2 linked regions of the Tamandua tetradactyla genome follow. The protein of the gene in region 2 interacts with the protein of the main gene of each other region in a pairwise test. Links are inferred from orthologs where the notes say so. Each region holds a gene or a part of one and is shown on either strand. Other genes may lie near its edges.

The links. The genes of interacting proteins can lie anywhere in the genome.
Region 1: the proteins of USP25 (region 2) and RAD23A interact in binary tests that used the Homo sapiens proteins (3 or more experiments, as listed by UniProt). The link is inferred for Tamandua tetradactyla from reciprocal best matches to the Homo sapiens genes USP25 and RAD23A.

Annotation. Positions count from the first base shown.
Region 1 is NC_135337.1:89,717,432-89,724,905, forward strand, and holds the start of RAD23A (UV excision repair protein RAD23 homolog A), read right to left. Parts: upstream 3,064-7,474; 5' UTR 2,953-3,063; coding exon 2,881-2,952; intron 1,540-2,880; coding exon 1,378-1,539; intron 1,210-1,377; coding exon 1,028-1,209; intron 886-1,027; coding exon 830-885; intron 698-829; coding exon 570-697; intron 340-569; coding exon 261-339; intron 141-260; coding exon 7-140; intron 1-6. Other genes in the region: CALR (calreticulin), read right to left, coding at 5,334-5,537, 5,633-5,725, 6,241-6,384, 6,471-6,584, 6,680-6,889, 6,976-7,070. UniProt on the Homo sapiens protein: Multiubiquitin chain receptor involved in modulation of proteasomal degradation. Binds to 'Lys-48'-linked polyubiquitin chains in a length-dependent manner and with a lower affinity to 'Lys-63'-linked polyubiquitin chains.
Region 2 is NC_135336.1:73,295,558-73,302,943, reverse strand, and holds the start of USP25 (ubiquitin carboxyl-terminal hydrolase 25), read right to left. Parts: upstream 3,078-7,386; 5' UTR 2,964-3,077; intron 1-2,963. UniProt on the Homo sapiens protein: Deubiquitinating enzyme that hydrolyzes ubiquitin moieties conjugated to substrates and thus, functions in various biological processes including inflammation and immune response.

The DNA.
Region 1 (7,474 bases), on a different chromosome or scaffold from region 2:
CTGTACCTGCAAGAGCTGAGGATTCTCCTGGCCTAGCTGCTGGAGCAGGGCAGGCAGCAGCGCTGGGTTCTGCTGAATCACCTGCCGCATGTTCTGGAACTGCGGCTGGTCCCGCAGGAACTCCAGGGGGTTCTCTCCTGCTAGCAGTGGGAGGGGGTGCAGTCAGAGACCTTGCAGGACTCCCAGGAGCCACGGGCTGGCTCAGGTGCCACGAGGGCAGACCACCCCACCCCATCCCCACCCTCTTTCCTGTCCCTCACCTGCTTCTGTGGCGGGCTGCTCCGACACCTGGCTCTCCTGGATGGAGCCATGCTCTGGTTCAGGGCTCCCAGGAATTCCCTGACAGAGGTCCTGTTGAGTTCTAATGCACAGACCTCCCGCCACCCTCTATTGCATGCCCTGCCCTGCCCTGGTAGGAGATGGGGGAGGCCTTGGCCCTGCCCTCCTTAGGCCCACCCCACAGCTCACATCCACCTTCCTGCAGGAAGTCTTTCCTGCTACCCAGTCTTTTGGGAGCAGGTTTTGCCTCTTCCCAAGACCTCCTTGGGGAAGCGGCAGCCCTGCCTCACCGTGAGCAGATACTCCACAGCTCGGTGGGGGTTGTTGTAGCTGGCTCTTAGAGCAGCCACAACCCGCTCCCGCTCATAGCCCATGGACATGATCTCTGTCAGCATCGTTTCATACTCAGAGCCAGTCACTGTGAAGGGAGCAGCAAAATCTGGGTCACCAGGGGGAGGGAAAGGCATGCCCAGGCTCTCCGACACCCAGATGAGGCCCAGCAAATGGCTGGGGAACCTGGTGGCCTCCACCCTGGGGATCACCCACACACCTAGCGTGGAGGCCGCGTCTTCCTCTCGCCCGCTGCTACCTGAAGAGGGAACAGAGCTGCAAATTCAAGAGAGAGAAATCGGACCCTGGCTTCTGGCATACTGCCCTCCCCCACCCAGGAGTGTGGGGCCACAGATGCAGGCGCTAAAATGGGCTGGGAAACCTGGGGCCAAGCCGGAGCAGCTGCCCCCTGCCTTACCCTGATATGGATTCCGGGGACGTGGTGAGGACTGATTCCTCCGATGGGCTCTTGTCCTCTCTGGTGGTTGGTGGGGGATGGGACATGCCGGAGGCAGGGGCTGGTGGGAAAGCTGTGGAGGACTCCGGGGCAGCTGTGGGGGAGGTCTCTGGGGGTGCCGAGGTGCCTGAGCCAGCTTTGGCCTGTGGCGGCCAGGGAAAGGGAGCGGGTGTCAGCACCCCTATCAAGCCCCAACATCCTGTCCCATTGTGGCCCCACCCTGTTTATGGTTAATCTGTCCTGGGCACATGGGCCCTTAGCCAGTTCCACAGCTAAACCAACTGCCCTCCCAGGTAGCACCCTTTATGCACCTTGGTCACCATGACAACCACAAAGTTCTTCTCATCAATACGATAATCCCTGATGGGGACATCATCACTCAGGATTTTGCCAGCATAGATGAGCTTCTGTCCAGCCACAGGGAAGGCATCACGACCCTTCTCAGCTTCTATCTTCTCCTTTAGGACTTTCACCTGGAAGGAAAGGTACAGGCACTCATTGCTAAACCCAAGATTCCCTCTTCTCTTCTGGTTTAGGAAAGGAGAGACTGCAAGCACTGATGACAAAGAAGCTGGAGTTGAATTCCTTCAATCATCCCGACACTCTGTGGAGTGTCTACCAAATGCCTGCACATCACAAACAACTGAGGTCACAGGAGGGAACAAAACCCAACGCAAGTCCCTGTTCTCACGGACATGACACTAATATACACTTCAGATGATATAAACTACAACAATAAAAAAACAGAATAAAGAGAAGAGGGTCACCTATACCTTGCGGCTGACCTTGGACAATAAGGTCAACAAGTAGCTGATATTTACTGAAAACCTCCTAAGTTGCCAGTGCTAATCTAAATGTGTAGTATCACACTTTCTAAGCCTCATGATAACTGCATGAAACAGGTGACATCAACTACATTTACCGTTTGAAAAAACTGAAATTAAATAATTTGCCAAAATCAAACCCTTGGGCTGTTCAAAAAATCTCAGTCTGTGTCCTTTTCTATAAAAAGTGGACTTCAGTGTCTCCTCCACAGGGTGGTTGTGCAAAAACTGCTGGGTATGTAATTACCCATTCAATATGTTTGAGTTTTCTAAATCTTCTTTCAGCTAAAACCGGGGCATCATGTTTAGACCATGGACTCTCACATGAGGCAGAACGAAATGTGAATCCCAGCTCTGCCACTTACTTGCTGTGTGTGTCTATGGCAAAATTCTTTAACTCCTGGGTTTCCACATCTGTAAAATGGGGAGAGTCAGAATCCCCAAAACGACAGGGCTGTTTTGCAGATTTAGTAAGACAAGGTTTCCGAAACGCTCAACAACTGGTAATCAATGAACCGCCAACAAACTCGGACCGCCGAAACTATTACGATTGCGACCATTTATTATCAGTGTCATCGTCGCCAGCACCAGTCGGCATCTCCGGGTCAACCCTCCCAGATTCGGTCACCAACCTCCCGAAATGCCTCCTGCAGTGCTGGGAAGGCAGAGTACCAGTGTAGGAGAGCGTGGTCTGACTGGGAATCCGAGCCTGCAGCTCCCGCGCCCCGTGAGGGCGCTGACATTGGAACTGGAGTAGCAACTTGGCGGGCGCCGCGGGGGTGGGGCCTCGCCCGGAGACCGACCCCAGATACCACGGTCTGAGACCGCGTCAGCGGAGGTTCGTCGGGGTTAGTCCAGCAAGTGGGGGAGAGGACAGGGCCGGCCAGCACTGTCCTCTCCGCCCCTCCCGCTAGGATCCCGGTCTCCCCGCCCCCACCCTAAGCCCCGGCACCCGTCGCTCCCGCCCCTAGGCCCCGACCCGACCCGCACCGTCTCGTCAGGCTCCATGCGGATCTTGAAAGTCTGCTGCTGCAGCGTTTTGAGCGTGATGGTGACGGCCATGGCGGGGCCCGAGCAACGCGGCGGCCCCAGGATCCTCGCACAACATGCAACTCACGCCGCCGCCATCTTAGCGCCCAGTCGCGCCGCGCGCCGACCGCTTCCGGGGCAGACGGGGCGCGCGCCCCTCCGGATCCTCGTGGACATGCGCACCAGCGCCCTCTCGGGCCAGGCATGCGCAAACTGAACTTTGCTTCCGCGGGAAGCGGGGGAGTGCTCCAAACTCAGAGCACACGCCAGTCAGGTGGCTCCTGTGAATGACGTCATGCCCCTAGCGGTGACGTCATGCGACCACAAAATGGCCCCGGAGTCCCCTCTTCCACGCCCAAATGAGCTTTTTCATTTGTTGAAGTTGAGCAAAATTCTTCACGTACTTATTAGACATTTGTATTTCTTCTGTGAAATCTTTAGGATTTTTCCCCTTAACAAACGAGTTTTACATTATTTTGGTCTGGCGGGCTGCGGGGCCAGGAATATGGAAGGTACTTGAGATTGGAAAGGATCCTTGGAAGATCACCAAGAAATGAAAAAGTTAAAAAAAATCCATCTGGGCGTGGAAACAGGACACCCTCTTTGGGGGCCTCATTCATTCATTGCTGAGGGGGATCTGCCTTTTGGGGGATCTCTCCCCTTTCTGCTGCTACTTTCCCTGCAACTTTGTTAACCCTACACTATCCCTAGTGGAACCCAAGATATTTAAGACATCAGTTTTCAAGTCCTTTCTCCACTGAGTACATAGGTGCTGCAATCCTGGAGGCACCTGGAGAACAAGACATGATTTCCAGAAAGGAGGGGTTGAACTGGGCCACAGGCTACATACAAAGGACTTAGGGAGGGAACAAGGCGCACCAGTTTGCCTTAGCTGACGGTTGCTTTGGGGGGCTGGATAGAGACAAAGCTGGTCTTGAACTCCCAATCAGTGGGCAAAAGGCCCAAGTGCAGACCAGGAGGTGGAAGACAGAGTTGCAACCTCAAGATACCTCCAAAGCTGCCCCTTTTGCTATTCAACCAAACCTGACACTTCATGGCCATCATCAAACTGTAACCAGGTCCTGCTGCTTCTCCCTTCACTGGAGCCAATAAGGTTCCACCAGCATTGGCCAGAATAGGGTCAGGCCAGGGCCAGCTGACATCTTATCCTTTTCTTCTGCAACAGGGAACACCGGCCTTCTCCTATTCTCCAACCGGCTCAATGGACTTTCACTTCCCTGACAGCACAGCTGTTGGGGGTTCTAGGTCAGTTTCGGAGGCCCAATGCCACCTCAAGCCTCTCCCTTTGGTCCATGCCCTTCAAGTTCAAATCCCAACTTGGCCTCTGAAAATCATAGGGAGAAACTTTGTCAAGTTTTATCTCTGAACCTATTTATTCAATTATAAAAAGAAGTGATAGCTTTTAACCACACTGGCTGGTATTAAAACTGTTTATTAAAGCGCCAAACCACTGTTTTCAGCTTATGATGATTATGGTGTGGGTTCAAACCCAGCCCTATTACTAAATTCTGTGTGCCACAGTCTCCTCACCTATCAAAGCAAACTGGTACTAGAACCAAAACTCAGGTTTGGTCCAAGGAATTGAGTTGTTACATGGAATACTTTTTAATAGTTGAGTCTCCTATTGGTTTGGGATTGCCTGGCAAGCAAGGGTCCCTGCAACCTTGTCTCCTTAGCAGCTAAAAATGTTGAGACAACTCCTTACTCAGGAGCCACTCCTCCCCAAGAAATGCCATCTCTGGATCCCTGGATCTCTGCTCTCTTCCCAGAAGGAGACACCGAAGAGAGACACAAAACTTAATTTAATAGAAATTTTGTTTGTAGTTTTACATTCTGTGAGAGCTGAGCTGGAACCCGCTGCCCCGCCCAGAAGTGGCCCAGTGCTAGTAGCAGAGGAAAAGGGGAAAGGGTTGGGGGGACGGTCTTAGGAGCCCCAAATTTCCTCAGTGCTGGAGGGCCTGGGGATGTCACACTCTTTCTCCTGCTACAGGGAGGGGAGCAGATGGAATCTCAGACCTGGCACTTCTCCACACATGCCCACCCCCTCCCCCCAGGCTGGAGGGAAATGAAAGGATAGAGGAAGAGGACATAGGAAGGAAAAGATGTCAATCAAAAAAGATGAAAGCCAAAGGGTGGGGGCTGATGTAGAGAGCATCAAAAACAAGGCATGGTAAAAAAAAAAAAAAAAAAAAAAAAAAGGTTGGGGGGAGGTGGCAGGGAGGGAACAAAATAAACAAAACAACAACAACAAAAAATAAACCACACCCCAAATCCAAACCCGCCTGGAAAAAAATGAGAAGTTCTCCAGTCTCATAGAGACATTATTTGGAGCGGCCAGCTGTGGCGGGCACGCTCAGGCCTCAGTCCAGCCCCGGAGGCGGGCGGCGTGGCCTCTACAGCTCGTCCTTGGTCTGGCCAGCGGCAGCATCTTCCTCCTCTTCTTCTTTGTCCTCTTCCTCCTCCTCCTCCTCCTCCTCTTTGTCCTCCTCTTCCTCCTTGTCCTCCGCTTCCTCCTCCTCTTTGTGTTTCTTCTCCTCCTCCTCCTCCTTTAGCCTCTGTTCCTCGTCCTGCTTGTCCTTCATGAGCTTTTCTGCAGCCTGTGGGGGACAGAGCCTTTGCCTCAGTGCCCAGGCCCCACTCGCCAGCCCTGCGTCTGCTCCCTCAAACCTGGGTAGGGGGAGCCCGATCCTACCTTCGTGACACCCCACGTCTCGTTGCCGAACTCCTCGGCGTACGCCTCATCGTTGGTGATAAGGAAGTTATCAAAGATGGTGCCAGACTTGACCTGGGGGTGAATGGAGTGAGGAGTGGGTTACCCAAGACGGCCCTGGCCTTGGGAAAACTCCCACCCGCGGTGCTCCTGTAACCACTAGATGCCGCCGCATCTCTGCAGCAGTCAAGAAGCACCTCATGGACCAAGCAGCACAGCTAAAGTTGCAGTTAAAAAATGGGGGCTGCGAGACCCACAAGGGGTGGGTTCCAATCCAGCTCTGCCCCTTCCCGCCTGTATGGCCTTAGGCTGGCGACTTCAAATTTCTGCCACTGCTAGCAAAGCAAAGTTTTCTAACAGGGCTGCTTGACCACCCCCGAGATTGGTGGAGGGAATGACAGGTACTCAGGGAGAGCCCTGGCACTCAATAAGTGCCTTTAGGACTGTAAAGGTTCAGGAAGGGCCTCACAGCAACAGGGCTCTCAAAGCATTTTCCAGTCGGGCCTGCCTGGGTCTGAATCCTACCCTGTCCCTTCCCTCGCAGGTGACCTGAGGTGCCCCCAGGATCCTCCTCCCACTCTGGGTCGCACCTGCCACAGGTCCAGGCCCAGCACAGCGAAGCTGTCGTAGGAGTAGATGTTGGCGTCAGGGGAGTACTCAGGGTTGTCGATCTCTGGGTGGATCCACTTGCCTTTGTAATCTGGGTTGTCGATCTGTCGGGGCTTCCACTCGCCCTGGGGAAGAAGAGAATGGCATGGTGAACAGAGGCCGGTGCCCTCCCCACCCTGTACCCCAGCCCTTACTTGGAACCCAAGCTCACCTTGTACTCAGGGTTCTGAATCACTGGCGGTTCCCACTCTCCATCCATCTCTTCGTCCCAGTCCTCAGGCTTCTTTGCATCAGGGTCGGGGATGTGCTCAGGCTTATCCCAATCCTAGGGGGGGAGAGTCGGGGAACCACGAGGACATCAGAGTGAGCCCACATGTCCACCACCCCTTTCACAGTGGTGGTCCCTGTCCAGGCACCAACCTCGGGCTTGGAGTCTGTGGGGTCATCAATCTTGGCCCGCTCATCCCAGTCATCTGGCTTGGCGGCATCGGGATCTTTAATCTTCTTGGGGGGCAGGAAATCCCAGTCCTCCTCCAGGGAGCCCGACTCCACCTGGCTGTTGTCGATCTTTACCTCGTACGTGTTGTCGGGCCGCACGATGAGTGTGTACAGGTGTGTGAACTCATCATCCTGAGGAGGGTGGGAGGTGAGCAGTCCCGCCCTCCCGGATTCCTGCCCTTCCCCCCACCAACCCCCACCCCACCCCTCAGACACACCTTGCAACGGATGTCCTTGTTGATCAGCACGTTCTTGCCCTTGTAGTTGAAAATGACATGAACCTTCTTGGTGCCGGGACCACAGATGTCGGGTCCTAGGTGGGAAGCAGGTGTGGTCAGAAGCCAGAAGCTGCCCACCACTGCAAGCCCTCAATTCCTCTTTACGAAAAGGAAACTTGTTTCTTAAAAATGCAGCGGTCTAGGGCGGGCCGCGGTGGCTCAGCGGGCAAAGTGCTTGCCTGCTATGCCGGAGGACCTCGGTTCGATTCCCGGCCCCAGCCCATGTAACAAAAACGGAGAAACAGAATACAATAAAACAAGAAAATGTTTAAAAATGTTTCCCTTTCTTCCTTCCTTCCTTCCTTCTCTCTGTCTTTCCTTTAAAAAAAAAAAAAAAAAAATGCAGCGGTCTAAAAATTCCTGTAACCAAGTATCTACACTTATAAAACCAAGAGAAAAGCACATGGGATCACACCTGTCTGCAAACCAGCAATGAAAA
Region 2 (7,386 bases):
AAAACTTGCAACTACCTACCTTGGCTATGTGCTGCATTGGTCCAAGATAGAAATCATGACTTTTGCTTCTTGGATCTTAGTTGAATTTGAATACATATTTAATTACCTTCAGATATGGGTACTAAAAGTCTGTCTTATGACTGTTGTGTAAAATAAACCTAATCATCCATACATTCAAATTTATCCTAAAAAGAAGTTGTGCATTAAAAACAGGGTATTATGTACTAACAGGGAAAATAAAACCGGTTTTTAATAGGGAAAATAGAACTTTTTGTCATTAAAACTTGAGTCTTTTCAATGTTTAATATTAGATTTGGGCAAATTCATTGAAAGCAAATAAAGCTGACACAAAATTAATTTTACATAATCTACCATTTATAACTAAAGTACATTTTTTATAATAACCTTGGCATCTTGATGTATATACATTTGAAACGGTTCTTTTCATCTTTAGCTTTTTAATTTATATTAATATAAGACTAGGATAGATTAAGTATTTTTATTTTACTTTTGAACTTAAGAGTACTATACTTTAATAAAACTCACAGGAACAATACTTCTTTGCCAAATTTTTAGCTAAAATTTTCACATTCTTTTTTCTGCTACAATATTATTTATATATGTGCTTATCAACCACACATTTTGTATTTAACATTTAGTCACAAATTTTTAAATATACACATAGATTTAACTTCATACATATTGATTTAACTTTACTATCCAGTAATCTCAGTAATATTACAGGATGCTGAATCTCTGTAACATCATGTACAATAAAGATATTTAAATATTTACTATTTTAGCAATTAATATTTTGATTTAACTATTTAAAATGTTTAAATATTAGTAAAAATGGATTAACTAAAGTAAGTTAAAATTTAAAAGACAATGAATGAAAAAGAGCACTGTCTTTAGAGATTTTCTTTTCAATCCAGCAAAAATGAGGATCTCAAACAATATATATGTATTAGATTAGAATAAACAATACTGGATTAGAAAATAGTCTTAATCTTTCAACTCTGAAGTTAGCTTTGCCTTTTATTCTCTATTACATGCTGTTTCCAGATTATTAGAGAACACACAAAACAGAACTGCTGATTTGGTACATACATTTACAGAATTTTTTCTATTTTATGCTAATATAAATTCATATAAACAAAAATAAGCACATAATCTTTAAAATAAGAATTGCTGAGCGGGTCACAGTAGCTCAGCAGGCAGAGTTCTTGCCTGCCATGCCGGAAACCCAGGTTCAATTCCCAGTTCCTGCCCATGCACCAAAAAAAAAAAAAAAAAAAAAAAAAAGAATTGCATATTACATAGTCTATTCTATTTTATAACCTCTTTTTCACATAACATCATCATTTCTCTTTAATATAAAATCCAACTGATTTATTTCATGTTTAAAATATTTGTCATCAAAGTTTAACATTGTCAGGCTATATAACTGTTCTAGAATTATTTCATTCCATTCACTTCTTAAAAAAAGTCAAAATCTAGTTTATATAATTTATCCACCCTTCACAAAATAAAACTAATTAAAATGGCCCAAGAAAGACTGACTACACATTTTTGGTTTTACATTAAAATTAAATGATATTAGCTACAATTCAAAGGGGGACAACAAATTTTAATTACATCTTCCCATTTAATATAAATGTCTTACAAGTTTCCAAAGTAATATTTAGAGATATTAAAAAGTAAAATTAAAATTTATAAAGAATATGACTTTGCTAAAGGAAGCATTTCAAGGTTATCTCCTACCATAAAGTAATCTCAGATTATTTAGAAAAAAAATTTGCTATTGATATGGTGTCAATATTATCTGAGAAAACTAGAACATTCTGCTACTAACCTATTGTGTTACAGTGAAAAAGCACTGGAGCGAACAGATCCATATGAGCTGTGCTTCTTTAGAAAATCATTTTACCTCTTAAGCTAAATTTCTTCTTCAGTAAAATAGAATTATCACTGCCCACAACAGCTATTTAGAAGATTATACTTAGTTATAATCTAAAGCGTTTTTTTAAAATCAACATTTCTAAATTTGGAGTAAAATGCTGGTGATCAGTGAGGGGGAGGGGTGGGGTATATGGTATACATGAATTTTTTTCCGTTTTCTTTTTATTTCTTTTTCTGAATAGATTTAATTGTTCTAAGAAATGATCATGATGATGATATGCAACTATGTGATGATATTGTGAATTACTGATTACATATGTAGAATGGAATGATCAAAAATTGCGAATGTCTGCGTTTGGTGTTTTTTTGGTATTTTAAAAAAAATTTTTAAATTAATAAAAAAAATAAAATAGAATAAACATTTCTTAGTGATGAAACCAAATTCATCTATTTGATCCATAGGTGAATCAAACTGCTTCAAAGTGAAAAGTTTAGGCTATTAAATTTTAAAAAATACACTATATCACACAGCTTGGATTTCTTAAAAAGAAAATACTCTATAAACATACTACAGATTGCCAGTCAGCAAACTACAGTCCAGGTGCCAAACCCAGCGGGCAGCTGTTGTTATAAATTAAGTTTTAATGGACACAGTCCTGCTCATTCACCTCTATGCAACAAAATGAATATGGCCCACCAAAGCCTAAAATATTTACTCTTGGTCCTTAAGAGTAAACACCCCTGTTAATAATGACTGGAAGCTGAAATTGGTCAGTATATCCAAAAAGGAACTAAAGGGAAGAAAAAAATGGAGAATTATTAAAACACAGTCTTAAATTTAATCCTCTAAAAGACTACTCTCAAATCCTAAAAGTAAAGTTTCAATCACAATCAGAATTAAAATATGAAAATTTTGGTTACATAAAACATAAAAGTAATATAGAAGTATATTAATAGTTGTTTAGAGTAATAAAGTATATCTTATTGCCTTTTAAAATTAAAGCCAATTATTATTTCCGTTATAGTATTTACATTTGCTTTATATAAATTATACTTTTTACCTGCTAATGGCTTGCTCCTCATCAGTTATTCCAGTCTCCCTGAATGCCCTGTTCGATTCTGCCAAACTCAAGGCAATTGCCCTCTGAAGATCATCTTTATCATCTCCAGTGAGATCAATGACATCTGAAAAGCAAAATTATCTTTCTCAAAATTAAAAGTCAAACAAAATGAAAAGTAATTCTTATCAAATATCAAATATATGCTATTGAACCAAAGTCAATATCAACTTAATTCTGTATTTCTTTATAAGAGCCTCTCTGAAGAGAATGAAAACATTTTAAATTGGTTATACTTTAATTAATCTTTTTCTTTAAAATATATCTGAAGCAACAAAAATATTCTTCATTGCAGAAGAATCTCAGGATTTACTCTATGATCTCTGACTAGAAGCTAAAAGGAAGACTAGCAGACATTTTCCTTACCAACAAAAATTGAAATCAACACAACTAAATATTTATATCTATGAGTTCTAAAATTAACCCAAATGTACACAATTAAATACCTCATCAGCTTTAGCAACTATTTTTTCAAAGACATTAACATTACAATTTGTCTACACTACCACTTAAACATTATTTAACAAATTATGATAATTAACAACTGAGCCCTTGAAAACTGTTTCAGAAACTACTTGACCACAGATATATGCTTATATATACAATTTTTAATTCTGAAACGAAATGTCAAACTGTTAAGTGTGGTTAATTTCAATGAAGATAATTATGAAAAGGTAAAGAACTTTCATTTCCTATTTTAAATACTTCTGCCCCATCTGAATTGTTTTATATCATGCAGTCCTTTTTATGTCAAACAAAACTTTTATTTCAGGTGAAAACAAAGAAATTTACAAATAAATGAAATTGTTCCTCTTTCAACAAAAGTTAAGTAGCTTTAATGCTACTCTTCTTCTTACAAAAAATAAAGTCTATAGCTTTTACCACCTTATATAAAACTTCTTTTTAAGCCAATCTTCTAATATATATTGATCAACATTTTTAACTCATAAAATGACAATAAGAAATATTCCCATTGTCATTTAAACAATGATAGGGACCGTGGAAAACTATTACGTAGGAGAGAGGTAACAGGTTACAAAACAATGTGAAGAGAAAGAAAAAAGAAAAATATCTGTTATTACCTTACATTTAAGTGGATGGGATAATAATATTAAGATGTTCTGTGCCTGTGGTTACATATGTACAGATGATAAAAAACAATAGTAGGTAAACTGCTGCAACTTAGCATAAATAAAGGCAGAAGCACCAAACTGTATGAGTATCCACTGTATTACATACATGCATACTCACTATTAAAAAGCAAAACAAAACAGTTTCACCAAAGAATGTTCTTGATGAAAAGGCAAAAATCAATTTTATTAAATTATGACTTACATGTTCTTTTAAGTCTATGTGTTGCAATAGAAAGTATGTATAAACTACTTCTGCTGTATATCTAGAGCATGTGAATTTCTAACAACAACAACAAAAAAACACTAGTACAATGTGTGAGTACAAGGTGAACTAGCTGCTTTTTCATGGAACGCCATTTTTACTTCCATGAAAACTACAAACTATAGTTGTTCAGATTTGAGTATTAGGAAAACATTTTCTCGAAAACAGACAACGTAACACATTCAATTTAAAGAAAACAAATGAGAGTGCTTGTTGTCAATGATTAATTTCCAGATTTAAAGCAAAAATCTGAACTTTGGAAAACTTGTTTCCTCTGCCAGTATGCTTGATGTCTCCACAACACTTAAGGCTTAATCTGGTGAGATAAGTGATGATATTAACAGATATGTTTTTTAGACCATAGATATTTATCCAACAGTTGGAAGAAAATATTTTCCAATAAACATGCACAATGTTAAAAAATCACGCATGGGCAAAAGATCTATTCAAAGGGCAAAACTGACAATGGATTTTAACGTAACAGTAAGAAAAGATGATATATGTGATTCTGATTACACATTGCAACTAATCAAGTTCTAATATAGAATTAAGAAAGAATATTTTTATCTGAACAAGTACTGCTCCCTTTTCTAACTCTATATTTGCATGAAACCAGATTTTCTTCATATACTTTAATCAAAACAATGCATCCCAACAGAATGAATGCAGAAGCATATCTGAGACTTCAGCTATCTTCTATTATGGTAGACAATAGAGATTTGCAACAATATAAAATAATATACCCCTAATTTATTTCATAAAAATATAATTAATTTTTAAAAATGTGTTATTTATGCTAACATGAAATGGATTATTTTAATACGAATAATTTAAACTTTCGTTTTAATTTCTGATACCACAAATTTTGACCAAAATAACTCATATAAACAAAAGGCCTTCGAAGTCAATAAATTTTAAGGCTGTAAAGGGGTCTTAAGATCAAAAAGCCCTGACCACATGATTCATACATGGCAAAAACCATGGTGCTTTAAAGCCAAAATTAAGAAGCAATAGCTTCCTTGAGACAGAATATTCCGTCTCTTTTTTGCCCCCATCTCCAACCCAACCTACTGTCTTACACAGAACCTGCCACACACACTGATATTATCTGCCCTGGCCTTGCAGGGAGAAGACAAGGGACTATTGATTCTTAACTGACAAGATGGGACTTTATACTTTAAGCAGTAGAAGTTCATTATTTGCAGTTTCACTATAATCAACAATGATTTTTTCCCATGTTTCCATTACTCCATAGAGCTGCTTCTTTTCACATTAGTATAACAAGCCTGAAAGAAACGTATTATTACCTTACTCATATACCAAAAACATTTGCTCTTAAGACCATATATTAAGAAAGTGCAAAATGTTTTTTCATACAGAATGGTTAAACTTGAATTCATTCTCTGGAAATAATGAAGCAATGATTTCTCTAAAACAAGGAATGCTGCAACAATGTTAGAATGAAATCTATCCCATGATTTTCTTATATGCTCATACTCAAAAAGGGACAGAGAATAAATAAGGCTAGCCATAAACAACTGCTAACTAAAAATGCCTCTGTAAAAGTCCCATTCAAATACCAAAGCATTATGAAACTCTTATACCTGTGTCAGGGTAGGTTCTTGGTAAAACACCACTGCCTCTGGTATCAGTGTAACACAGTTCAATGATGCATGTGTGGAAGCGTTACTTTTGGATAACACTTGTAGAAAATTCATGTTACAAAAGCATATAAGCAGCATTACAAAAGCATATAAGCAGTAATCTCCAACATTTTCAACAGTGCCTAAAGTAAAACATTTTCTCTGCAAAATCAGAAATAAACATCAAAACACAAAACTCACCATAATAAATATTTTATTTCCCAAGGAAATACCTTTGTACTAGCTTAAAAATCAACTACCAAATATTTATCAGTCAACTCCAAAAATAAATGCAGTCATCAACTTACTGAACTAGACTTCAAAGGTACATGCTATGTATAACTCATAATTTATTTTCCCATAATAATATTATATTAAGTGAAATAAAGTTTCCGAATTAGTTCACAAAAGCCCATATAACCCATAACCTAGTTCAACTACAATTCTCTATACAAAAGATTTGGATTCTGGAAGAAAAACAATGTTCTTCCACCTTTTTCATTATCTTCCTAGGGAAGGGACTTGTAAAAAAAAAAAAAAAGCCCAGTTTATTTTTAAAACCAGCAAAGATTTCTTAAGGCAAGGGAGTGACATGAGCAGGACTCTGTTTCTGTACTGAAGAGTTAAAGGGTTGAGCAAGAGTTTAAGAAGAGGTAATGAGAATATGACCAGATGGAAACAACTAAAAGAAAAAGCTGTTATACAAAAACTGAAAAACTTGCAAACTGAATGGCTTGGAAAAAAAAAAAAATTAGGCCATCAGAAGATTAAAAATGCTGTTAAAAGAGAAAGGCAAATGGAATGATCATATGCTAAGAACGTTTGTGTTGTTCATTGTTATATTTATTTTTTAATTGAAAAATTGAAAAAAAAAATAGAAAGGCAGATATGAATAGAGGGATGCTCAGTAAGGAGATTGGAAATGTTTCCCACTCCACTTTTCCATCTCCTCTCCCCTCAATCAACCAGCTCCCTCCCATAAAGTGTTACTACTTTTCTGATCTTCTCACTGCTACAGAACTCAAATTCTATGAAAAAGTGCTTTACAATAGAACTTTTGTGATGATGGAAATGTACTATTATCTGCACTGCCCAACATAGTAAGCACTAGTCACATACAGACTATTTTGGAGCATTTAAAATATGACTAGCACAACTTAGGAATTGAATTTTTTTTTTGTTAAATTTTTTATTGAGGCTTCACTACATTTATATATTAACTTGGGGGGAAATTTTTTTTTTTTTTTTAACATGGGCAGGCACCAGGAATCGAACCCGGGTCCTCTGGCATCGCAGGCAAGCATTCCTGCCTCCTGTGCCACCGTGGC